Linked DNA regions of Caenorhabditis elegans. The protein of the gene in region 1 interacts with the protein of each later gene in a pairwise test. Each region holds a gene or a part of one and is shown on either strand. Other genes may lie near its edges.

The links.
Region 2: the proteins of mob-3 (region 1) and ifc-2 interact in a two-hybrid assay, tested with the Caenorhabditis elegans proteins (one large-scale study listed by BioGRID).

Annotation. Positions count from the first base shown.
Region 1 is NC_003282.8:7,383,087-7,395,630, forward strand, and holds mob-3 (MOB kinase activator-like 3), read right to left. Parts: upstream 5,858-12,544; 5' UTR 5,841-5,857; coding exon 5,773-5,840; intron 4,183-5,772; exon of another isoform or gene 4,040-4,182; intron 3,754-4,039; coding exon 3,603-3,753; intron 3,280-3,602; coding exon 3,129-3,279; intron 3,075-3,128; coding exon 2,908-3,074; intron 2,808-2,907; coding exon 2,747-2,807; intron 2,695-2,746; coding exon 2,492-2,694; intron 2,072-2,491; coding exon 1,994-2,071; 3' UTR 1,670-1,993; downstream 1-1,669. Other genes in the region: ptp-8 (TYR_PHOSPHATASE_2 domain-containing protein), read left to right, coding at 318-586, 631-759, 804-1,043, 1,094-1,213, 1,499-1,666; pitr-1 (Phosphate transporter), read left to right, coding at 11,011-11,127, 11,176-11,242, 11,502-11,780, 11,857-11,942, 12,003-12,099, 12,147-12,266, 12,440-12,544.
Region 2 is NC_003284.9:644,445-656,988, reverse strand, and holds the start of ifc-2 (Intermediate filament protein ifc-2), read left to right. Parts: upstream 1-2,167; coding exon 2,168-2,199; intron 2,200-3,906; coding exon 3,907-4,009; intron 4,010-4,855; coding exon 4,856-4,940; intron 4,941-6,081; exon of another isoform or gene 6,082-6,223; intron 6,224-6,881; exon of another isoform or gene 6,882-6,882; coding exon 6,883-6,962; intron 6,963-7,481; coding exon 7,482-7,617; intron 7,618-7,823; coding exon 7,824-7,934; intron 7,935-7,983; coding exon 7,984-8,200; intron 8,201-8,438; coding exon 8,439-8,638; intron 8,639-9,097; coding exon 9,098-9,216; intron 9,217-9,261; coding exon 9,262-9,514; intron 9,515-9,610; coding exon 9,611-9,702; intron 9,703-9,971; coding exon 9,972-10,631; intron 10,632-10,680; coding exon 10,681-10,783; coding exon of another isoform or gene 10,784-10,923; intron 10,924-11,264; exon of another isoform or gene 11,265-11,316; coding exon of another isoform or gene 11,317-11,356; coding exon 11,357-11,520; intron 11,521-11,769; coding exon 11,770-11,880; intron 11,881-11,966; coding exon 11,967-12,461; intron 12,462-12,512; coding exon 12,513-12,544. Other genes in the region: lpr-7 (Lipocalin domain-containing protein), read right to left, coding at 1-26, 158-280, 335-403, 564-724. UniProt on the Caenorhabditis elegans protein: Cytoplasmic intermediate filaments provide mechanical strength to cells. Not essential protein, although its absence leads to mild defects in locomotion.

The DNA.
Region 1 (12,544 bases):
ATTTTTCGTCTATGCAAAAAAAACCTGACTAGATCACATTTGGATTTCTGTTTTTTGTGACTACCAATGTATTTGGGATTAAATGTTTATTGAACGAGTAGGGTCCAACGAGAAAATATTTCCAACATTTAAATAATAATTTTTCTTCTAAACATGAGTTGAAAATATTTTGTCGACATTTTCCCAATGTTGTCTATTTGGCAGAATATTTTATAAAGAAACTACAGAAACATGACCATGAAAAACTTCAATGTGCAACAGCTTCTTACTTGTCTAATGAATGAACTACGCTTTAAATTATTTCCATTTTTCTTCAGTTTATCACTACAATTTCCCACTCCCCGACTTCCAAGCATGCACACCAAATCGTCTATTGGATATTGTCAAAGTGGTCGATTTTGCATTATCCCATGGAAAAATAGCAGTTCATTGTCATGCGGGTCACGGAAGAACTGGAATGGTGATTGCTGCATGGATGATGTATGCTTTGGGAATGTCTCCGAGTCAAGCAGTTGATACAGTCAGAAGTAGACGTGCAAAAGCTGTTCAAAGTAAGGAACAGGTGAAAACATTGCATGAGTTCAGAGTAAGTTCGTAATCATATACAATCACAAAAGTTCTATATTGCAGCTTCTAATAAGGAACAATGGAGGGATGATTATTCCTAAAAATAAAATGACACATATTTCGGAATATGTGGCATACAATCAAAAGTTTATAAGTAAACCAGAATCTAGATTATACGGTAAAATTCCTAAAGTAAGTATTTAAATTTTCTAAATAAATAAATAACATATTTTCAGATAGTTTACATTGCAATGCGAATAACACTTCAAAAAATGTATTCATCAGTGAATTTCGAAGTAGAAAACGATTACCGTATGAAAATTAAATGCGAAGGGCCATTACCTGAAAATAAATCATTCGATGAACAATTATTAAATGCTCAATTAAATGATGATGATCATGAAAAAACTCATTTTTGGTATATGGATCAAGTGAAGAATGGGCTCTCAATATCTACAATTAGTCGTCAATTAGAGGTTAGTTGGTGAGAGAGATTCAGGAAAATGTTAATCTGATTAAAATTTAGAATGAAGATTTTCGAGATATTATACGTCTTCTTGATTTGTTCTTTCATTCGACATTTCATCAATTGACGCATAAAGAGGAAATATTTGCAGTTTTACAGAATTGGGATCAAACTGAAAAGGTTAGAAATTTTGGAATTGTTGAGCAGATGTACCCGAAAAAATGATTATTTGATAATATACATTCAATGTGAAGAATTGTTAGTGTAGATTTTGTATAAACAAAAAAATAAAATTCGAGTTTAGTGACTTGCATGAAGATATAATTGACAGTTTAGTGAAAATAACGAAATACGTATTCCACTTATCGCGAACTTGAAACAGTAGATTTTAGAACGCAGTTTTTCAAAATAACATGATTTCAAATTATCAGTTTTGCTCTATTACTCCAAATTCCATTTTTTCAGGATTGGTCTCCAACGTTTTGGTTTTTATTAAAATGTATCCGTGAAATGCCTATTCCTCTTCATTTGGCACTATCACGTCTTATTTCCAAATGGTTCCTACGTTCTGAAGTGGAAATCGCGTCACGCATCAAACACATTTTATCATCACCGGTTACTTCAAACGAGTAAATTCAATAAAAGTTTTTTTCGAGAAATAAAAAAAAATGAAATCATTAAAAAAAAAAAAATGAAATCACTTTGGCGGGAAGTCTTTGCATCATAAAGAAACAAAGAAACGGGGAAGGCAAGTAGAAATAGAGGGGAAACGATTTGGATGAATACTGTTTACATGCGATAAATCGTTGGGAATACGGAGAGAATGAGAAGTACAAGTTGAACTGAACATGGAAAAGTTGCACTTTAATTGAGACAGAAAGCAGAAACAGTGATGGTTCACAACCGAAAATGACTGGTATTCAGGAAAAAGAAGAAGAATGACATGAAATGGAACAAAAATCATGACCGGAATGCGTTGGCAGAAGGAATTGGAGCTCGGCGATTTGATGGCTCCAGAAGACGTTCAGTCATGTCTTTCTGAAAAAAAAACAAGTGCTTTTATTTGAAAAAAAAATCACAGATTAATTTTTTTTTGAAGAACATCAAGTTATTTTCCTCAAAATTGAGGACAAACTTCTTTTATTTTTTAAACATTTTTTGTTGGGTCCTTCTTTTTTTTTTGAGAAATCAAAAAAAAATCTTCGCTCTTGGATTTTGCAATCGAAAAAGCGACGCCCTTGCTCCAATAGTGTTTTTTAAATTTACTATTTTTAAACTTGCTCTTTTCTTAAAAAATAAAAAAAAATCCTCCTAGGCGTGAAAAGTGGGAGGGGAAAAAAATTGAAAATTTGCGTTTCGTGAGACAGTTTAAATAATTATTTGAACATATCTTTTTTTGTTTTTGGTAAAACTTTTCTCTTTTTTTTTCAAAGTGTGCTCCAAATTTGCATAACTTACCAATGCCTCCAATTCTTTAGTGGACACCATTCCATATTCAGTCACAAAAAAGTAAAAATGTTTATAAAGGGTATTGGCGTGTGGTTCAGCACCCAATTCTCGAATCCGATCGAAATGATGAATGTAGACGTGCACGAAGACACGGAACAAGCGAGTGAGAATCTTTTTGCAAATTTGACGGAAATCTTTTGGAAATGATACATCTGAAATAATCAATAAAATTAACTATATATATCGTACAAAATCAAATCTTACTTGTGCTTGATGGGAAGATGTGCTCATCATTAATGCGAACTTCAATCCAATCCATTAGCAGCTGAAACAACGGTGTATCAGTTTACCGAAATCACACAATTGTGAGAAGGGTGCAAATAGAAAGAGAGGGGTATTAGGTTACAGAAAACGCAAAAACAAACCTGCATGTACTGCGGAGCAGGGAGTCTTGTCGGTTTTTTATACTCAATACCATCCTGCCACAAATATTCATAACGGGATCCTCCACACATAGTTGGGCAAGATTCACGAGTGCATACATCAGAAATCGTTCCATACATCAAATTAATTCGATTGAAAAAGTCAACAGCTGAACGAAAATTCAGTTTTAAATTTAAACTGGACCATTTTTGTTGAAACTTACTATGTACAGCCAGCCAATCATCAAAGTTCTCACTTGGTGGCAGTTTGACAGCATGACGAAGATCTACACCCGAATGAAGAGTTGCTTCTGCTTGTTTGTGAAGACTGTAGCGGAGTGTACCTTGTGGAAACTTCTTTTTCGGACGGAATGTCTACAAACAAAATACTTTTCGTTCAATTTCAGAAAATGGTAATTTACGCAGCTTGGTCCCAAATGCCAAGATATCACAAAAAATTAAAAGAAAACACTCATTAAGTTTGAAAAAGAAAACTACTAATTTCGGTAAATTTTCAATTTTCTAATGTTCCTAATTTGAATTACAGCGCATTTGTCTTTAAACCACGCACATTTTTCAGTGCCGGACTTTGGTTTTTATCAATTTCGATGCAAAATAATGTTTTTTTTCTTATTTTTAATAAAGAAAAAAAGCCAACAAAAATATTTATCTCAAATCAAAAATTTGTTTTTGATTACCTTATGCTTGTTGACCTGCAGAAAATCGAGAAAACTGGCCATAACTGCAAACAATGGTTGTGGATCCTTTCGTTTTTCGTCTCCACCGGAAGAGACGATGGCGCCCGAAGGCGGTGAAGTTCGGCGTGGAGTTGACGGCAAAATTCCCGATCTGCAAGAGAAGGAAGGTTTAATGAGTCGTAAAACTGGGTTAGTGGTGAACTAAATGAAAGCAAGCGAAGTTCATTGGCTCACTTTTTCAAACGAATAAAGAACATCATCATGGTAGTTTTTCATAGAAATTGTGGCCGAAAAGTTGCGAAACGCGTAAGGAATTTTAAATTTTCTGATGAAATCGCATTGTCTCGTGAATTCTATTTTTGAATTCACCGCTTCCCGTTCGGTTTCCGCATAGAAACACACAAATTTAACGAATTTATGAGATTTCGGAGATTTACCTGGATTTCCAGATCGGATCAGTAATGAAGTCGGGATGAAGAATGAAAGGATTTTTAGACTGGTGGTTGGTGGGAAATTAGCGAATTTTAATGATGGATAGGCTGTGGCGCGGCACTCTCTCACGCAGTTGGCCCCGAAGAAACAGAAAGAGAAGAGACATACACACAATGAACATCATGCGTTGGGGACGAAGCAAAACGAGAGAGTATTGGGATAGGGGGATACGCAGAGAAGAATAGGTAGCAGTTGAAATGGATGGAGAGATGATAGAGCAATATAGAATGTAGATACGCAGACAGTGTGAGTTGCGGGAGGGCATGGATTGTGTGTGTGTGTGTGTGTGGCAACGAGGATTTGATAATGAGCAGTCATGAGAAGGACCAAGAGAGATGAGTGCAAATTGGGTGAGAATCTATGATTCCGGAAGTTGTCGTAAAGCAAGCATTTTGAATTTTATTTCAAATATGCAATGCCTACAGTAACCCTAGTAGGTCTAGAAGGTTCACCACCGTGGAGTACAAAAATCTCGATTTTCATTTTTAGACTTTAATAGCACAAAACAACCGAAATTCGTAATGAGAAATTTTGAAAATTTCTCAAAAAATAATTCTGGCGGGTCAAAATTTTCGATTTTAGCTGAAAATATAAATACCCTTTTCAAAACTTTGATCCGCCGTAACAATTTTTTGAGAAATTTTCAATACGTCTCATCACAAAATTCTCCACTTTCAATCGTCCATAATCTACAAAACATCATTTTTCAAAACTTAAATATGCAATAACGGTTAAAACCAGAATTTTCGATAGAACTACGAAGTTGTATATTATATAATTTTTGGAGAACCATCGGAGTTTTCCAATCTCCAAACATAAAATCTCTATTTGAATTGGGAACTTTTGATGACTCAATAGTAGTGGGCAAAACTTTTGTGGACTTTACAACTTCAACGGCATAGTTTTACTTTTCCAATACAAAACAGGAAAATAAGAACAACACACATTTAATGGTAGCCGGAAGAGAAATGAGGAAATTATGAGGGTACTTTGGCGTGGGCTTTCTAGCTTCAGTTTCTCATTCCAAAAGAGTAGACATTTCTGATGTATTTCATTGAAATAGGTTTTGCATGACCAACTGTTTTTTCAATGTCCTCGAACGATTTCCCAGGTTGAATGACATTTGAAGGTGACAATTGACAATGGCCGACACATTTTATTTGCATCTCATTATCACATCATTCTGTGAACCTACAGTACCCTTTAGACTGTCAGTCTTCTTTTAGAAATTGCACTCTTTCAAAAGATAAATTCGACGTTTTTAAGTCTCTTTTGGAAATAATGATCGACATAGAAGCCAGACATTTGACGAAAGCTGGCCAAAATCATGGACTAAGAACTTTTGATTACGGACAAATCTGTTGAAACTAGAAAATGAAAATATTTTAATGTTTTTGGAAATAAAATTGAATAATACGTTCAGAAATTGTAGTAAAAGAAGAACGAATAAGTTGACAGAACTTCACAGTGATGATTTTGACTGACAGCCGGCCTGTGTCAATGTCAAAAATCTCTACGGATTCCGGATTGAAAAATCAGCGTTTTCTACTAAAACCGAACAAGAAAGAGGAACGTTCAACGAAATTTAATGGATGTTTGCCTTCGAATCATTGCATCGCATTCAGAATGCCAAATGAGTCGAATATGAATAATCGGTAGTGAAAAACTTGGAACAAACCTTTGTTTTGTAGGTGTGTCGCCACGTTGAAGTGCCTCCGGAAGACCATAGCAGTTGAGAAGAGACATGGAGAAAGGGAAGCGTTCTGAAATGAGAAGAAAATTATTGTTGGATGAAAAAATATGTTTTCAAATAAATTAAGGACACGTGGACCGGCGTGTGTAATCAATTTTAAATCATTTTCAAAAGAATTTCTTTCTAATCTGTAAATTTAGAACCCTTTCTGCGTTTTCGGTAATCCAGGTTTTCTGGTTATCTCGAAAAACCGGCAAAATATGGGAGAAAAGATTTATATTCAAAAAATTTCAATATTTCACATAAACTAAAAATTTAAGTTTTTTAGATTTTTTTTCAGGATTTCATTATAGAGGTTTCTCAAAACAAAAGAATAAAAATCTGAATATATTGGAAATGTTCGACATGAAACGTTTCGCAGTTTTAAAATTGAAGTGAGTAAATTCAGGTTGAAAGTCAAACATATTTCTGAAAAATAATGAAAATAAAACTTTTTTACGTCCGTTTGAACTGAACTAATGGGGTTATTCAAGTAGTGTCGTGAAATTGAAAAGTGTATTTCAATACACTTTTTGCCTTATTCAAGTAACATCAAAAACATGTATTTCAATACAGTTTGTGACGTAATTTCGCGACATTTCTCGACATTTCTCGACATTTTTCCACAGTGGATTTATCAGAATTGTTCTCCTTCGACGGCAAATTGTATGGATTTTCACCCGCGGGGACACCTTTCTCTGTGTTTTTCATTCAGTTGTCCGCTTTCTGGTTGTCGCATAATGTCGAGAAATGTCGAGAAATGTCGCGAAATTACGTCACAAACTGTATTGAAATATATGTTTTTGATGTTACTTGAATAAGGCAAAAAGTGTATTGAAATACACTTTTCAATTTCACGACACTACTTGAATAACCCCATAAATTAAAAAAAATAAAAACTCCAATTTTCCAGGAGAAAAAAAAAAAAATAAAAACTAACAGGAAAAATGTTTTTTACCAAACAAATAAATCGTCGTAAGATTTGGTGTATTTTGTGCACTTAGCCTACCGTAACCCACGGTAAAATGCAGAATTGTGGTTCAAATCATTTTAATTTTCCCACGATATATTTTCCCACGCTGTATGTTCTTCTCGGCTATTTTTTGCTGTTTTATTTGATTTTTCATAATTTTAAAATATTATAATTCTTATTTCTTGAATTTGTAGTAGATGATGCAAAAGAGGGGTCGCTTTAAAAGCAGATTAAATTCTTCCATGTCTTATGTGCTCATTTTCCGTTCGATTGCCCATTTGAAAACGAAAAAATCTGCCGCTTCTCTGGTCTTATTCGTCGTGGATCGTTGTCGAGCAGCTCTTCTCCGTCGTCGCGCGTCTCGGCTTTTCCATCGTTTTTTCTGCGCCCTCTAGTTCTCTCGCTCCCTTTATTTTGCTCGCACTTGGCTTCATGCCAGCTGGTCCCCTCTGCTTTTTGCATACTATCTAATTCAGACCCCAGTCGCTTGCATTGGGAAAGGCCACCTCATTGAGCTCTGTCCACAACGAGTTTGGACCCAGACTGGCATAAAACCATATGCCTATGAAATTGTGTAAAATGTTTCTTCTTTCTAAAATCAGTTCGCAATTATTTCGTTCCTTGTTCCTTCCCGTTCGAATTTTGAATCTATTCTCTCTCTCTCTCTCTCAAGTTCCTTCATTTCCCGCCAAGTGTTTCTCTTCATTGCGACTTTCGACCAGCTGTTCGAGCAGCTCCTGTATCATTTTTTGCTACGAATTTCTTCACCAACTGCACGTAAACTGCTACTTTAGTTATTTGTTATATTTTTGTTGTGTTTAAAACTGAAGAGGTCACCGGAGCGAACATTTTCTAGAAAATTCTATTGTCGCACAGACAACAATATAATGTCTAGAAAGAATGCGATTCTATTCTGAGAGGCTGGTCCATCATAAAGTGACGAAAATGATTATGTGCGAGGGTGTGTTTTGTTCGTCTCTTCATCCAATCTTCTTCTCTCGAACCTCTTCCGTTTCTTTCAGCTCGAAAATCGCAAGAAATAGTCTATAAATAATCCAGCGAATCACTGAAAGACTGATGTTTTGTCTCTTTTTGATGTATAAAAGTGCTTGTTTCTATCAGTCTTTCGAAAGATTTTGTTGAAATATTGTATTCTTATTCTGTGTAGGTTACTGTGTGTCACTTTTGGCGAACAAAGAAAGTTCAACCGGGAAGAAATATTACCGTAGCATGTTCTCTCCGTTTTCTCTCACTTGCTTTTGCACTTTTGGTCTCCTCTTTATTGCATCATTCCGGGCCCCTTTGCAAATGTGTTTGATATTCTATCGACCAAAAAGTTTGATTCATAAGTTGAAGGCTAAAGTTTTTATTCTTTTTGTATTATTAGAATGCTCTTATCGAATACAATTAAATCCCACTACACTAAAGAGGTAACCTCATTAATCTAGACAAAAATTACTTCCTTTCGGAATTATCGCATTCCAAAGTTTAGATTCATTAAATATTTCTTTATTTTGTAATTTTCTCTCTTGTGGCACCTTGTTTTGGCTCACATGGCATTCGGCGAAAGCAAAACATGAATGTCTGTTTTCAAAGTTATGCATTCACCCCCATCCTCCAACTTTTCTATGAAAAAGATTTGGTCTATGATCTTTCCAGCCATGAGCTCGTCGCATTCTATTGAGTTTTGAGAAGAGAAGAAGCTCTAGAATTGTGTGCTCGTTGTTCGACTCTTTCAGGATAAATTTCATAAGTAGAGAGACTTTTCATCTTACACTGTTAGCTACGGTGACGTCATGAGAGCAACAATATACGCTCTTTGTGCGCGGGCCGAATGATTGCGAAAGAGAAAGAGCGTCTGCATTGGACGTGTGACCTTCAATGTACCCTTAAGACTCCGCCTTATTTTGAATCATAACATTTTTGTCTGCTAGACGACCCTTGGCATTCGTCCAATTTTTTTCGAAACTTTGAGTAGGAATTAGATTTGCAAAAAAAAGTGAAAACGAGCCAGTAGATCCTCCTCGTATCTTCATTCTTCTTTCGTTTCAAATTGATTGCTCCTTTTCGTTGTCTCTTCTGTGCATTTTCCGTGAACTTCACCAATAGGTCATAGGGATCTGCTTCTCGCTAGTGGGATATCCTGCGTCTCATCTACTCTGACATTAGATGATGGGCGACGAAAGAAGCACCGTTTACACCCAACCCATCACGTCAGAGTACGGCCGACTTCCCTCCTTCCCATGCAATATCACCTATGAAATCGATTAGAAAGTCCCTCGCTTTATATTTCAATTCGATTTAAAATAGAAGACGAAACATCTAACTTGGCTCACTTCCTCCCTTTTTTTCGTTTTTCTTCTTTAGATAATCCCTATCCTCAGGCGCTTCAACTTCTTGTTTCGCGATCTTTCCTCTCCGGATGCGTTTTTTAGGCTGATTCTGCAACAAGAGTTTAACAATCGGATTGTCAAATTTGCTCTTTTTCTTTTTATTGCGCACTCCCTGCCCCTGCCTTTGACAACCTTTCCAATCTGCGACTGTTAATAAATCTAGGGTCGCAGCACATCGAGCAAACAAAGAACAATTTTTTAAAAGAAGTTGAAATATTGCTGAATAGATGGACCTCATTTTTGTTCATTTTCTCTATCTAATAGTGATGCTCTTACACATGACAATAATAACCAACGTTTTTCGCAATAATTTTTTTGTTTTTGTTGACTCAGTGAACATTTGTGAAATCTGGCTGTTGAAAAATCACGAGTAAACTATTTTCGTCAACGATTCAGATTTTTGAATCTACAAAATATCTGATGTCACTGAAAAAGCCTTTAAAAAAATAAAATTTACGTATTCTAGTGCATTCGAGTTTACTGCCATCATTCGCCCAATATCCTTAACCAATCCATCAGTTCAAACTCATTATTTCCCGTTTTTCAGCCCATATAAATGGGAATTCGGTGTCCTCAGCAAGAAAATAGGCCGACAAGATTATATTTAAAATTATATAGAGTTCGCCCAGCAAAGACCATAACGTCACTCTCTAAAGAACAATCAAAAAGATATCTTTCTTGCAAGACACCGTTTTTCTCACCTCTTCTCTTTCTTCGTTTTTTTTTGTTAACACTTTTCTCATGTGGCGACATAAATCTTCCAATGTAGGCGAGACCGGACGCCGGAGACTTTGTCGCTGACAAACCTTTTTGATAATGTTATACGTGGGAGTTCAAATAAAACTCTTCTTATTTCCTTGTTGCTCCTCCTATTTCTACCTCATTCCGTTTGTCACAACTTTTCCGTATTCTTTTATCTGATCAAAATGGTTTTTTTTTCAGGGGTAATTATCGTCTCGGATCGTGAACTGTGCGGCGAGTCATCTCACGTCTTGTTACCGTTTTCGCCTAAACCACAGGCGAAGGGCCCTGCTGAGCCACCGCAACTCCACATCCCAACCCGTCAACTCACTCTTCCTTTCGAATTCTACAATCATCTTCTGGTATGATTTTGTTTTTAGCGAAAAGTCTAATTCTGATGAAAATGCGTGGGTTTTGCGGGGAATCCCTAATGTTTCCATTTTGAAAATAATATTTCCCGTTTTTTGAAACTCGATATTTTGCCGCTATCCATTGCTCGATGTTCTTTAAACCAAGGAAAAAAAAGAATTTGACGACTCACTGAGGAATCTGGTGTTAATAAATTCCCCTTGAAAACTTCTTCCGTCTTTTCATAAAATGAGGTTTTCACTTCTAGTTTAACCTAAGTTAGCGGCAAAGTTCGATCAGATTAGTTTGTTTGATTTTAGATTCACTATTGTTAGCTAATAGAATTAAAATTAAATGATGATAGCTTATTTTTGTAACTGAATTTTGTGCTCGTCTGAACCTCGTGCCAAAAAGTTTATGATACTTATGAAAAAAGAACAATTTTTAATTACCATTTACGTCAAAGAGCTACGCCGGAAAGACAAAAAAAAAATAAATGACGCCGAATTGTCACAAGGATAGTGAGAAACGAGTGGTAATAGACCAAGAGATAACAAATTGTTTATTTCTCTTTAAAATTGGACTGTTATCAGAGACCATCAGCTGCTGTCGGCAAAGAAAAATTTCTGCTGATAGCTGGCTCCTTTGTGTTTCCCTCATTTCTACCGCCTGACGCTTAACCTGAATCGCTTCCAAAAATGTTTCTTTTTTTTTAGAACAGACTCAACAATGCTTCCCGATCCAACTGTTCTTCTCATCATCGGAGCCGTTATAGCATTCATTTTGGCGTTTGCTATCGGTGCAAATGACACGGCAAACTCGTTCGGAACTTCTGTTGGAAGCAAGGTTGGAATCTTTATTCACATTGAAAATTCTAGTTTTTTGAAATTTCAGGTGTTGACTCTTCATCAAGCATATGTTTTGGCTAGTATCTTCGAAACACTTGGAGCTTGTCTCCTTGGTAAGTAACACAGATCATCGTCGTAAGTATCTGCATCGTGGGGTGTCGGTTTTGTTCGATTTATCATTAAAATCGAAAAACTAAAAATTTTCGTTTTCCCAATATTTCAAAAAACAAATTTTGGGTATTTTTATTCTTTTTTGAAGAAATTTATATGTTTTATGGTTTTCTTCAACATAAGCATAATTTATAAAATTGAATTGTATCTTTGATTTTTTTTTAAATTCATTTGAAACTCACAAAATTCTAATATTTTTAGGTCATCAAGTGACAGACACTATGCGCAAAGGTGTGATCGACTTCTCAGAGTTTGGTAAACATGAAAATGGTACCGTTCTTATGAGCGAAAATGATCTCGGCCATACTATCATGTTGGGACAAATCGCTATCCTCACTGGATGCGGTGTGTGGATGTTGTTGGCGACTGCATTCAAGCTGCCCGTATCTACAACTCACTCAATTGTTGGAGCCACGATTGGATTTGCTCTCGTTGCCCAAGGATCTCGTGTCATTGTGTGGGAGAAGATTTACCGTATCTGTGAGTTCTTTACTCGATTATATTGGTTCTTGTCTGAAACGTGTGCTTGTATCGCTATTGGAAATTATTTTTGCAGTCTTCTCATGGATCATTTCACCACTTCTCTCTGGAATCGTTTCGGTTTTCATCTACTTGTCGCTTGATCATTTGGTTTTGAGACGTGTAAGTTTTCCCACGAAATTACTTTTGTTACAATAACTATGCAAATGTAAATATTTTCAGGAACAACCTCTTCACAGTGGAATTCGAGTTCTTCCTGCGCTCTACTTCATCTGTTTCGCTTTCAACGTCTTCGCCATTGTCTATAAAGGACCTTCTTGTAATTATTTTAATGCAATGACGTTTTTTCAAATAATTAATTTTTAGTCCTCTATTTCGATCGACTCAGTCTCACACAATGTCTCATCATCTCTGGAGTGTTCGGATTAGCGGTTGCTCTTATCTTTGCGTTCTTCTTGGCACCGTATCTCAAGGATCACATCCTGAGTATGTTTAAGAAATGGAGTATGAGGTTAGCAATTGTCGATAAGGCACTGAAGATAGTTTCCAGTGGCCTTATCGTTGCAGTATCATTGATTAATATTCTAAGATTTTATATGAGTTTTCAGGTGGTAAAATTATTAGAAAATTCTGCTGTCGATAAATTATTTTCATTTCAGGCAAAGAACTTCTTGAAATAACTGGAAAACAGCGACACAGTCATCACGGACATAACGAAAAGAGCAGTTCAAAGCGAAAAGAATTTGAAATGGAAGAAGGAAATG
Region 2 (12,544 bases), on another chromosome or scaffold:
AGATATTTTGGAAGAAGCTTGGTGACCTTGAAGAAAAATGAATGATGATTCATACTCTTTTGGTTTTTTCTAACTTTTGTAAGGTTGATTTGAAACAGACTACAAATACTTCTCAAATACATTCATTCCCACGAATTTTGGTCATAAAAAAGCTTACTTGTCCTTAATAAGCGGTGATCCACGTGGCAAACACGATCCGGCTCCTGGTAAACTTCCCAAAAGACCTGGCACAACAGGCATTCCATCTACCAAATTCATAGAAGGTAATGGGTTTTTCAATCTGGAATATTTAAAAAATTTAAATACACTCTATTAAAAACTAAGACAGCATTACTTTTTGGCTAGAGTGTTGTCTGGATTCTTCTGCACTGTTTGCAGGTATTTCATGAGACCGACCGATTGACTGAAAACATTTTTTTTCAAATTATAGCTGCTCTAACTGAAATTCTGTAAATATAAGCTTTTAATGATTTGAGGAATCTTTTTGCAAAAATTGTGATAAATCTGTAGAACCGACTAAAAAAGCAGTCACGATGCATAAATACTTTTGTCAACCAACTTACGTAGCCAGATCCTGAAACGGACCCCTATCATGAGTTCCCGCATCTCCAGTAGACAAACCAAATATTTCCAAAAACTGACAGTTTACAGGTGAGAACGAAAAAAAAATAATAATAGTAAAGAAGTAGAACGTTGCGTGATATAGACCATTATTATGCCGCATTATTATGACGACCACCACCGAAATAGTGTCAGGCGGCGGATATCGTCTCCTCCGTGGAAAAAGGAATGTCGGATAGGGAGAAAGATGACAGTGAGAAAAAGAGAAATCACTGGCACTGTCAGAAAAAATCCGGATTTTTTCTTTATAATTTTAATTGATTATTGCTTATATTGCGGCTAGTTTCGGTTTAATGGAAAGGAAAAGATTTTCAGAATTGAATTTTATGAGAAAAAATAAAATTTCAGATAAAAATTTGAATTTTGATTTCAAACGGGTTTTTTGATTTAGTGTTTAAAGGAGCTCGAGTGAATTTATCGTTTCCTGAAAAAAATGTTTATGATGAAAGTGTACGTCCGTACATTTCCCAGCTTCCAGTAGGGCGTCAAAAAAATTCCGGGGAATTAAATTTGAATCATTAACCAGGGTTGACCAGGGGTAGAGATTGACCAAAATTCACCGGATTGAACAATTTAACTGTAAGTTTACAGTCGAGCAGTGTTCATTTATTGTGGGTGTGCTATTGTGTTACGTAAAAACAAAGCGAGCAAAATAATTATACATTTTTCAAAATTGATCAAGTGCGAAGTAACTTTAGTTAAGAAACTGTTAAGAACATCCAACGGTGCCAAAATAACCAAATATTATAATACAAATTTTTTTCAATAACTGTGATTGTCAAAAGTCAAAAAGTGACAATTACTAAGTTTAGGCCACTTCTTGTGAGAACTGTAGCACTCGAACTCTAATAATTTTCGAATGTTACTTTTTGAAACTTAAATAAAACATAAAATTTGGAAACAAACAATTTTTCCACGACTTCTAAAAAAATAGCAAAATTTTAATACCATTTTTCAAAAAATCATATAAAATTCGGAATATTTATACTATTTTTTTATATGATTTTGTTTCATTGGTATGTCTTCTACTTACAACAACGGGACATTAATTGTCTTTGTATATCACAAAGTTAGGAGAAAATGTCTGCATGCCTGCTTGGACTAGCATTGCCTTGTGCCAGCACGCATTCCTGAACCGAGCCTTTTTTGAATGAATCGACCCCCTTGATCCTACTCATCAGTTTTGTGAACGTTAGAAAATTCGCTGAACTGGATTGATAAATTTTTTGGCATGTCTCTTTCCTGTGACACTTTCTCAATAGTTTCAAAAACCTCAAACTTCCGGTTATATAATATTATCTCTTCAATTCGGGAAAGTTGTGAACTTAACGTGTGAGAATCAATGTAGCACTCAAAAGAGGATTAGCTGAATACAATTACATGCAATCCCAACTTACGGAATACACTTTTGAATATTGAGAAGTTTGGGGCGGAATAACTCCCTTGCCCAACAGTTTTCACGTTATTTGTCAACTAAATATCAACAAACAATTGTAAGTTATACAATTTCCTCACTATCCTTGTTTTCAATCGTTGAGAACTGAATATGCTGGTTCCGTCTGACTCCGGTGGCAAAAAGTGAGTAGATACCTAACAAGGGAAGTCTTTGAGGGGGTCCGTAGATTTGGGGTTCTCATGCTAAAATTCCTACAGAAGAGTGTTAGTTATGATCTCTCCAAAAAATTTAGCTGCCCCGGTCAAGTTTCAGCAAAGTTATGACGTTTTGAAATTTCGGTTAAAAACACCATTGAAATCCACTGTCTTACCATGCAGTCCACGCAAATCTCAGCTTGCGTGACCACCGAAAATGTGACACCCATCACATTGAGTTGAAAAATGTCCTCGGTGGACGAGTTAACTCCCCAATTGGGAGTGCGCGCGTCTGATAAGATTTAAGCTTTGGTTCGATTCCTTCTATTTTTGAAATATTTTTGTAAGTTGAATAAAGTTGTAAAACAACTCATTCAAACATTTTTGCGCATTTTTAAAGTGATTTTATTCTTATTCGGGAGCCTAGAATCATTGTCCGCACTTTTTGGAAATTTTTATTTTTTTCATTGTTGCTCAAAATTTCTTGATCAACTCCAAGCAAAAAATTCAAAAAATTTCATTTTTCTAAACAATTATGAAATTGCTATGTTGTTGTTCAGAAATGTATGAAACGTACATTACACAAGTTTTAACTCTCTATTCGCAAGTAAACCGTCGAAATGATCTACATCTCACGAACTTTGTGCAAAATATGTAACCAACTTTGAAGTTGCATAACTTCGTTGAGATAAATTATTTTGAAAAATGATCAACTAACGAAATGTTTGTTGAATAACAGTGAACAAAGTTTTAGTTATAAACTTTTTGATACCTCCAGCTACAAAGAAGAAAACAAGGTTGGCATTTGGCTAGTTTTTCTATTAACATTGTGTTTTGGAAAACGGTCACAACTTTTTGGTGGCTGAAGGTATCAAAAAGTTTATAACTAAAACTTTGTTCACTGTTATTCAACAAACATTTTGTTAGTTGATCATTTTTCAAAATAATTTATCTCAACGAAGTTATGCAACTTCAAAGTTGGTTACATATTTTGCACAAAGTTCGTGAGATGTAGATCATTTCGACGGTTTACTTGCGAATAGAGAGTTAAAACTTGTGTAATGTACGTTTCATACATTTCTGAACAACAACATAGCAATTTCATAATTGTTTAGAAAAATGAAATTTTTTGAATTTTTTGCTTGGTGTTGATCAAGAAATTTTGAGCAACAATGAAAAAAATAAAAATTTCCAAAAAGTGCGGACAATGATTCTAGGTTCCCGAATAAGAATAAAATCACTTTAAAAATGCGCAAAAATGTTTGAATGAGTTGTTTTACAACTTTATTCAACTTACAAAAATATTTCAAAAATAGAAGGAATCGAACCAAAGCTTAAATCTTATCAGACGCGCGCACTCCCAATTGGGGAGTTAACTCGTCCACCGAGGACATTTTTCAACTCAATGTGATGGGTGTCACATTTTCGGTGGTCACGCAAGCTGAGATTTGCGTGGACTGCATGGTAAGACAGTGGATTTCAATGGTGTTTTTAACTGAAATTTCAAAACGTCATAACTTTGCTGAAACTTGACCGGGGCAGCTAAATTTTTTGGAGAGATCATAACTAACACTCTTCTGTAGGAATTTTAACATGAGAACCCCAAATCTACGGACCCCCTCAAAGACTTCCCTTGTAAAGCAAACTTTTACACATTTATGGAGATTTCTCAATTGATATTGACATGGTTTTCAGGCGAGAAAATCACGTGGTACCATCAAATGTGGTGAAAGGGAATGAGTGTAAGCTGAAAGAAGCTCCATTGTGCACACTTATTGTGTCATTTACAGATGATGAGGTATGTTCTTTTTCCGATTTGAATTTGTAATAAAAAGCTATTCTTCACATCAAAATGCAGAAAATAGGCGATAAGCATTTACGAAGCGGTTTTTTTTTGAAAATTCTGAAACTTAAAGTTGTGGAAGCGCCAGTGGATAAATTGCTTTAGAACATGCCTATATAACTTACTATCATAGTAAAAATGTTCAGAAAAGTTTTCTAAATTTTATATGAGAAGTTTGGAAGTTAAAAAAAACATCGATTTGCATCAAATTCATATTCGAATTACTGCCAATAGTTCGGGCTTGTCTTATGTATTTAAATTATTTTCATCAAATTTTCTTATGTTTTGCCTGATTTTTAATGTTTTTTGTGAAATTTCATCGGAAATTCAGCAAGAAAAATCAAGATAAATTTAAATTACTCACCGAAAAACTAAAAAAAAACAAGGCAAGTTTTCCAACGACGTAGAGCCTGAAATAATCAACTGCACAGATCCGTTTTTTAATAAAACATTTACATTTATCCTGAATTGTTCACTAAATTTTCAGTAAAATTACACAAAAAAAACATGAAAAATCAGTCTAAAATTGTGAAAAATTAATGATTAAAAGTTTAAATAAGGCAAGCGTCGAACTCCAATTCAAAAGGGAATTTGATGCAAATTGAGATTTCTTCCTTTTGATATTTGGTAGTTATGGAACCATAGTCATGTTTTAAAACAATTTCCCCACAGGCCCTCCTCCACCTTCCTTTAATTCACTCCTATAATTCTCAAAACATTACAACGAATGTGTTCAAAAATTGTGGGGAAACAATATAAAAAAAATATTTTTTTAGTTTTAAATCTATCAGTTTTTTTCAGGCAAAAGATGTGACATCTGCTCACGTGTTTACCATGACCACTCCGCAATTGTACCCACAGACTAGAAAAACAGTCTACAAAAATGGTAATGTTATTTTTCCCATTTTTCACTAGTTTTTCGAGTTCTTTGTTGTTGCTTTTTCCGTGCAATTTGAAACGACAGTAGAGTGAAATGTTTTCAGGAAAGTTGGCAACAGTCCCTTTTCTTCCATTTTAATTTTCAGTTTTTGTTCACAAACTTCCAACCATTCCCATTTTTATCACCGCTCAATTTATTTGCTTTTGCCAGCCAATACGGCACATTCTTTAGAAAAATGTTTACTTTTTCAACAAAAAAAAATGTCAAGAGAATAGATTGTTGATAACGAAGCAGTGAGAGGGAAATGGAATTTTTTGAATGCACACTCTTAGACATATAACCATAAAAGCAAACAGTTAAGCGAAACGAAATTGGAAAACAAACTTAAAACGGAAAAAGGCATGTTAAACACTGATTGCGGATATTTTATTCACTAACCGAAATGCTGATGTACTGATGGAACATTTGGACAATGGCTGAAGTTTATCTTGTGTCACATTGCAAATTGATGTTTCAGGTGTCAGGTCTTAAACTTTCTGGAACCCGCTTAACATTTTTAGAGATTTCATTACCTGAAAATGAAAGGATTTTGAAAACGGAAGGATACTTGTTTCATTTGTTCAAATTTTCACATTCATCCCAAATTACTGACAAATACGTCATTTAAATGTGTTCTTCAGCTAATCCTCCTCTCGGCCAATTGCACAAATATATCGGAACAACAAAAGAAGACAGAATGGGGAGTGTATGTGTGTATCTTTAAAAAGAGAAAGAAAAACTGGTAGTTCAAAGAAAACTGTGTATGTACCAGAAGTAGCGACACAAATGGGACAACTGTCTATTCAAATAATATGTATCACGCTTTTTTTGGAGAGGGGCATTTTTTTTGGTGGAAAAGTGTTAATGCGCAGTTACACATCAAACGGGTGTCAAATAAATTGTATTTCTATTTTTGAAATGTAATTCATTGTAAATCATGTATCTGCGATTAAATTTTTTTGGTCAGTGCAGCTACATTTTTGAGCACTTTCTCCCCAAGTCCCAGCATTCCTAGTTTTTTTTTTGTTGCGTTTCCCCGAAAGTGAGGTTACTCCAATTTTTTTGAGTGTCAAAAACGCCGCAATAAATATTTTTTTATTGCCCGCACAAACGTTGCCCAATCATCATCAGTTTGTTCACAGTGCAATAGTGTTCGCGCATCTTTTACCAAGTGCTCGGCAAACAGTCAACCAGCAACTTTTCATATTGGATTTGAATACACAGGGGGATGGCCCCCACTTTGTGTTTGTTTGTGTCTGTTTCCTTATTTCTGATCTGAAATGTGGAGAAAATGTTGTTGGCACGTGTATAGTCCAGCATCACATTTTTTCTTGTAGTGCATTTTCAACAAAAATATTTTTCACTTAATTTTGTTTCAACACGAAAAAACAGCAATTTATTTTTTATTTTAGAAAGATATTTTTAGTTGAACTGCGTCAAAACCCTTAAATTTGCCACATTTTTGAAGTTTGCATTCCGAAATGAGCTGGCAGAACTAACTGTAAGCAGCAGAGTTTTTGTCAGTGCAATTAATTTTCTAATGAATTCAATGTGCAACTTAAGAAACCTTACAAACCTGAACATTACAAACCTGAACAAGCTATGTATTTTCTAAAGTCCTTACGTCACAGGAACACATATCAGTTACCACTCTTCTTTCACTGGAGCTACTCTTCATCTTTCTTCAATAACTCTCACTTTGTGTTTCATTTCATTAAATGCGCGTTTTCGAAACAAAAACCGTCGAAAAAAACTCCTCATCACAAACAAACAGGTCAGGCGACCACGAAGATTTACTTGAGTAGTAGGCAATTATGCCTGTCATCTAGGTGACTGGCGTTTATTCCTCTGTTTTTCTTTTCCCTACTACCATCACCTTTCCACTTCACTTTTATTGTTCTTTTTCTAGGGTCCTCATCACAAATGTCGTTAACATCCACACCATTTAGTACCGACGATGAGCGATACAGTGGGTATACCAATTCTGCGGTAAGTTTTTTTTTTTGATGTGAGACCAGTGGCTTTTGAATTATTCCAAAGTGCTGAAGTCGAAACTGTTTTACAAATTATTTAATACAGATTTAATTACTATATATTTTCTAGGTTTTTGGGCATCATTATTGGGCATTTCTTAACAGATTGAAAAAAATGTTTTTCAGTACATAGATAAAGGTTTTTTTCAAAGTTTTCTCAGTTTTTTAATTGAAAAACAACATTTATTTGGTGTTCACATTTTTTCAGCTTAGAAGCGATTAATTGTAAGTTTCGATTCATTGTCTATTTTATTTGTGAGTCTACTAGAAAATAAAAAAAAAAAAACAAAAAACTTTCACTTGATCCGATGTTGTTTTGGTTTGGTTCAAAAAGTGTGTTTCCTTTTTGTGAAGATATCTGCTTGAGTATTGGGAAAATATATACATTTTCAAATTAAATGTTGTGCGAAAATTGTTTTTACAGCTCAAGAAAACTTGAGTTTATTTTCGAAATCCTACACTGTAGTATTTTCAGATGTCACCTCCCCTCCAAAAGCAGTTAATTCAAGAAGTATCGCTTTCATATTCCGCTCCATACACATCCACAGTTAAGCCTTCAAGGCATGACCTGCCGCTTGCCTTCTCACCATATTCCCTGGACTCAGAAATAGGTAAGTCACTTTTTGTCGTGCAAATTGAAAAAGGGAAAAAGTTAACCACTCCAAATAGGTTAAACAATGAGTAATCTTGGTAACACCTCCGCAGTGGAGTTGGCCAAATATAGTCTTATTGAAAAGGGGTGGTTGTAATAAGCCAGTTTTCTTGGCAATCCAATTTTTATTTTATTTCTCATTTTCCTCAAATTCGAAACGTTTAGAGGACCTTCATTCCCACACATATTCTCAGCTGTCAAACCGTTCCAACGGGAACAAAGTTGAATCGGCAGAAAGAATTTATACAGCAAGCAGAAAAGAGACTGAGTTTCCAGGTAAATTTAACATTTAATGCGAGTTTGATGTATTGATGTACTATTCTAGCAAAAGCTGATCCGATACCATACTTTTCTGCTCAGTCGGCAATAAAAGCTGGCAGAGAAAGTCCGTCTTACACAACAAGAAGTACACCAACTCCCAGACAGACACCTATTTCGTTTGATCAGGCTTCAACTGCAAGATTGGATAGTGGTCTATCTCAGAATTTGATTGTTTCAGAAAGCACAACTTTTGAGGAATTGACAACTATTACTACATCAAAGTGAGTTCACAAAAAGAATTTGCATAAAACAGTTCGTAACAGCAAAACAGTCAAAAAGAGAGATACAAACGTATAGAGATTAAATCTCAACACCGCATTGTTTTTACGTTGTTTTGTCCCAGATTTACCCCCCCCCCCCTCCCCCCTCAATCCAAGTCACCTACGATCTGCTTTTTTACATGTTCAGTTTTTTTTTTGGAAAAAAGTTGTTTGCAGTTTAATATCATCAGTTTTCCAGCAATCGAACCACTAGAAAGAAAGAGATCAAAACCGAGATGCCAACTGTGAACGCCTTGACCAAACAATTTGAAATTTCGTCGCAGCAGGAAAAAGTCGTTCCGTTGAAACCAAGAAAAAGCTCCAATGTTGATTACAATGGAAATGGGAATTCGAGGAGCCGTGTTGTGGTTATTGATAAGTCACAGATGAAAAGTCACAGTGAGTTGGGATTTTGGCACTTAGTTTTGAATATATGCAGTATCGGAGTGTTATGTCGAGCGAAGTTTTTGTTAGTATTGATATCTGTAAACCTGAAAAATTTTCATATATACTTTTTCAAACATGGCGTTTAATCTCTCATGTCATAAATCAACGTGTGAATTCTTATGCAAACATAAAACATAAATAAAACATTGATAAATAATTGGTTTCGCCATGAAACTGCCATGAAACTTGAAAAATACAAATTTTTCCATTATCTTAGTGGAACTTTGTCGATGTATATACTTTGCGATAGATAAATAAATTTTATATACAAGATGTATAAAAACAACTGATCGGAACTCATTTACATACCGGAAAAGGTTTTTTTACGTTTTTATGTTTTATAACTTAGAATTTTGTTTCAAAATGAGAGCATACAAATAATAGACCAGCACCCATTTTTGTGAATTGCAGAAAATGGAACCTACACTCCGAATCGATCCGCCATTGTTTACTCACCAGGCGGCATATTAACAACCACTATTGTTGACATTGAACCAGCACGATTTGGAAGACGAACCGAGGAGTATAAAGTTTGTTATTCAGTTTTTTGGAATTTGCCTTTAATTTGCTTTCAGATCCAAGAAGAGTACATAGTTCAGCGATATGATAATGGAAGCTCTCCAAACTATCAGAGACAAGAGCAAGGATATCAGCAACAACAGCAGCACCGGAGCAGAGAATACAAAACGCATCGTCAGGAAAAGCAAGAAAACTACAACCAGCGAAGTTACAGTGCAACTGAAAATCGAGAAGTTGACGCTCCTGTGGATACATCTCCCATTGATGTAGTGAAAAATGTCATTGATCGCTGGGAAACTAAGATTGGAGGTTTGTACATACTGTTGTGGAAATGCTGACCGACTAACGTCGAGATTATATTTAAAAAAACTAGATAAACATCATTATCAAGACCAAATGTTGCAGGAACTACTACTCGCTTCTACGCAAGCGATCAACAACTACGTTCGGTATCACGAGTTGATATGAATGATAATGTGCCAAGATCCGCACAAGAGGTAGAGGAAGCATTTATCGTTTCTTCCCATTTTTTGAGTATGACTCAAACGGGCAGAGAACATTGCACAACTCGCTATTTTTGAAACGACTAAAATTATGTTTATAGAGATTGAGAATCGTAGATTTGATAAAAGACTATTGAGGACAGTGTTAAGCAGAGCTTTAAAAGGCTGGAAGTGGTATGATTTTAAGCCGTTGAACTTAAGTAGATCAAACATTTAAGATTGTGAAGGATGGCAATGACATCCTTCAATCATTATTTTTCCAGAAAATAATTGTTCACCAAAGAAGTGAATCCCAACCGACCGAGCGTGTCATCCCAATTTCCCCTTTACCACATCGAGTTGAGCCTACAAGGACTACACAATCTGGAGGACTGCTTCAAACATATGAAGAACTGAAGACAGTGGTTGTCAAACAATCTTCTGACCAAACCCCCCAGAAAATCGTCCCAAGAGCCCAAAGCCCAGTAACGTCTCCTGTCTTCAAAGAGACGATTTTGTCTCCGCCACCAATTCCAACTCCTTCTCCAACTTCTGATATCGCTGAAGAGGTTCTGAGAACTGATGAAACAACACAGCACACCGCTATCACTATGCATTCCATTGTGACAAAAGAAGTCAAACAGGAGGCCAAGGAGAAAATTAATAGCGTCACTGATAACGCTGAAATGAAGGAGAAGGTTGTGGAAATTGCGAAAAATGTCGAATATGAGTGGGAAAAGAAACCGCTGACACCAACTCCTACTCCGATTCCTCCTCAGCAACAAGAAGTAAAACAGGAGGAATTGAAAGTTGAGAATAAAATTGAAAACGATCAAAATGAAGTTCATTTGCATAAGTTTTTGGATAGAGACTATCGAATTAAAACCTATGAGGAGTACTCTACGACCAAGAGGCTGAGAGACAGATCACAACCGCCTGAGAGAGTCAGTTTGTAGCTATTGAAATGAGTTCCTGGAATAATACCATTTTCAGCCACCAACTTCGTATTCGTCATACTCTGATCGATCTCGATCAATCGATAGAACATATGAAAGAAGAGTTCTGGGAAGTGGAATGTCGAGGACTTATTCGGAAGGTAACCTGAACTTTGCGGGACTAAGCTTCAAATTTGAAAGTAGTTACAATATGCTTACTGTACCACTATCACAGTTTTTGGAACATCAAAACCAAACATTTGGAACAGTTCATTTTATACACTACTTTCTTTGTACTTAGGAAAAACTGTCGCTGATCTTGACACTTTTTTGAACTTTTTCTGGCTTGTGATAGAACAACAAAAAATGAAATTTTTTAAACTGTTAATACTTCTTAGTCTAGTCACGGATAGTTTCTTTACACTTTCGACGTTCTTTTCTCCAATTTTAACAGCATAATCTTTTTTCTTTTTTTTGACATTTTCAACTCTAAATGAAACAGCTTGGAATTTTGATATGATGACAGTGAGAAACGGAGAAACACAGCGACCAGCGCCAAACTGATTACAGTTGGCATTATGTTGAAGGCATAGGTGGAGTCGCAAGGGTTGCCTATAAAACATTGTCTAATCAGTGCCATTTTCTCATTTTTTATCATTATTAACTTCTAAAATCGACAAAAAAAAACCAAAAAATGTCGACTTACGCGGCCTATACTACTTCTACTTATCAAGGTCGTGGACTTGCCAGTGGAACATATGCTTCTGGCTTTGGCCAGCTTGTCAGTGGAATGTCATCTGCTGGAGCCATCTGCACAACCCAAATCCGTGACGCGCGTGAACGTGAGAAGAGAGAAATTGGTCTCTTGAACGATCGTCTCGCGGATTACATTGAGAAGGTACGTGACTACAAGTATTTTGAGCCCAAATTTTAGGCCCCGCCTTGAAATTGGGGCCTCAACCAACATCATCTGCCGACATCTCACAAGTTCTGCGCCTCACTATATTCAACGTAACGCTCTTAGCAAGGAAAGCCGATGATCGGCTGGTGCGCTGTCACGTTGAAAAAAGTGGAGTTCAAAACCCGTGAGATGTCTTCGGCTGATGTTGTTTTGAGTGTACATGTGTTCTAAAAGTTTCAATTGCAGGTTCGTTTTCTGGAAGCTCAAAACCGATGCCTCAGCCACGATATTGATATTCTTCGCAACGGATTCAGCGGTGGAGGTCATGTATCTGGACTCTTTGACGCTGAGATCAACGTGAGTTTACTTCATTTTTTCTCTCTCTCTTCAAGCACACTTGATAAGAAGTCGCGATGGAAAACTGATAATGGTTTTTTTTTCAGCAAGCAAAGCATATTCTTGAGCAAACAACCGCTCACCGCTCCACATTTGAAAGAGACATCACTGGTCTCTCCGCGGAGATTGAAGTGTTCAGAAAGAAATGGCTGGACGCTGTCAACGCCGTCAAAGCTCATCGTGAGGACCATGATGTGGATTTGGACAGACTTGCCAAGATTGAAGCTGAAATTTCACTTTTCAAAAGAAAGATCCGTATTGTTGAGGAAGACGTCATCAGAATTCGCAGAGAAAATGACGGAATTTACAATGAAATCGCCAGAATCAAGCAGCTTACCCATAACGAAATTGCTCTGAAGAATGAGCGCAGCTTGAATGTCTCCGATCTTCTTCAGCGCATCAACCTCCTACAAACGGAGAACAACGTCAGAATCGAGCAAGAACTTGTCTTCATCCGCCGTGACACCACTGCCGACAACCGTGATTACTTCAGACATGAGCTTCAAGCCGCCATTCGTGACATCCGTGCCGATTATGAAGCCGTAAGACATTAAAATAGTAAGATATAACAATTCACATGATATTTTTTTTAGATCAGCATCCGCAACCGTCAAGACATTGAAGT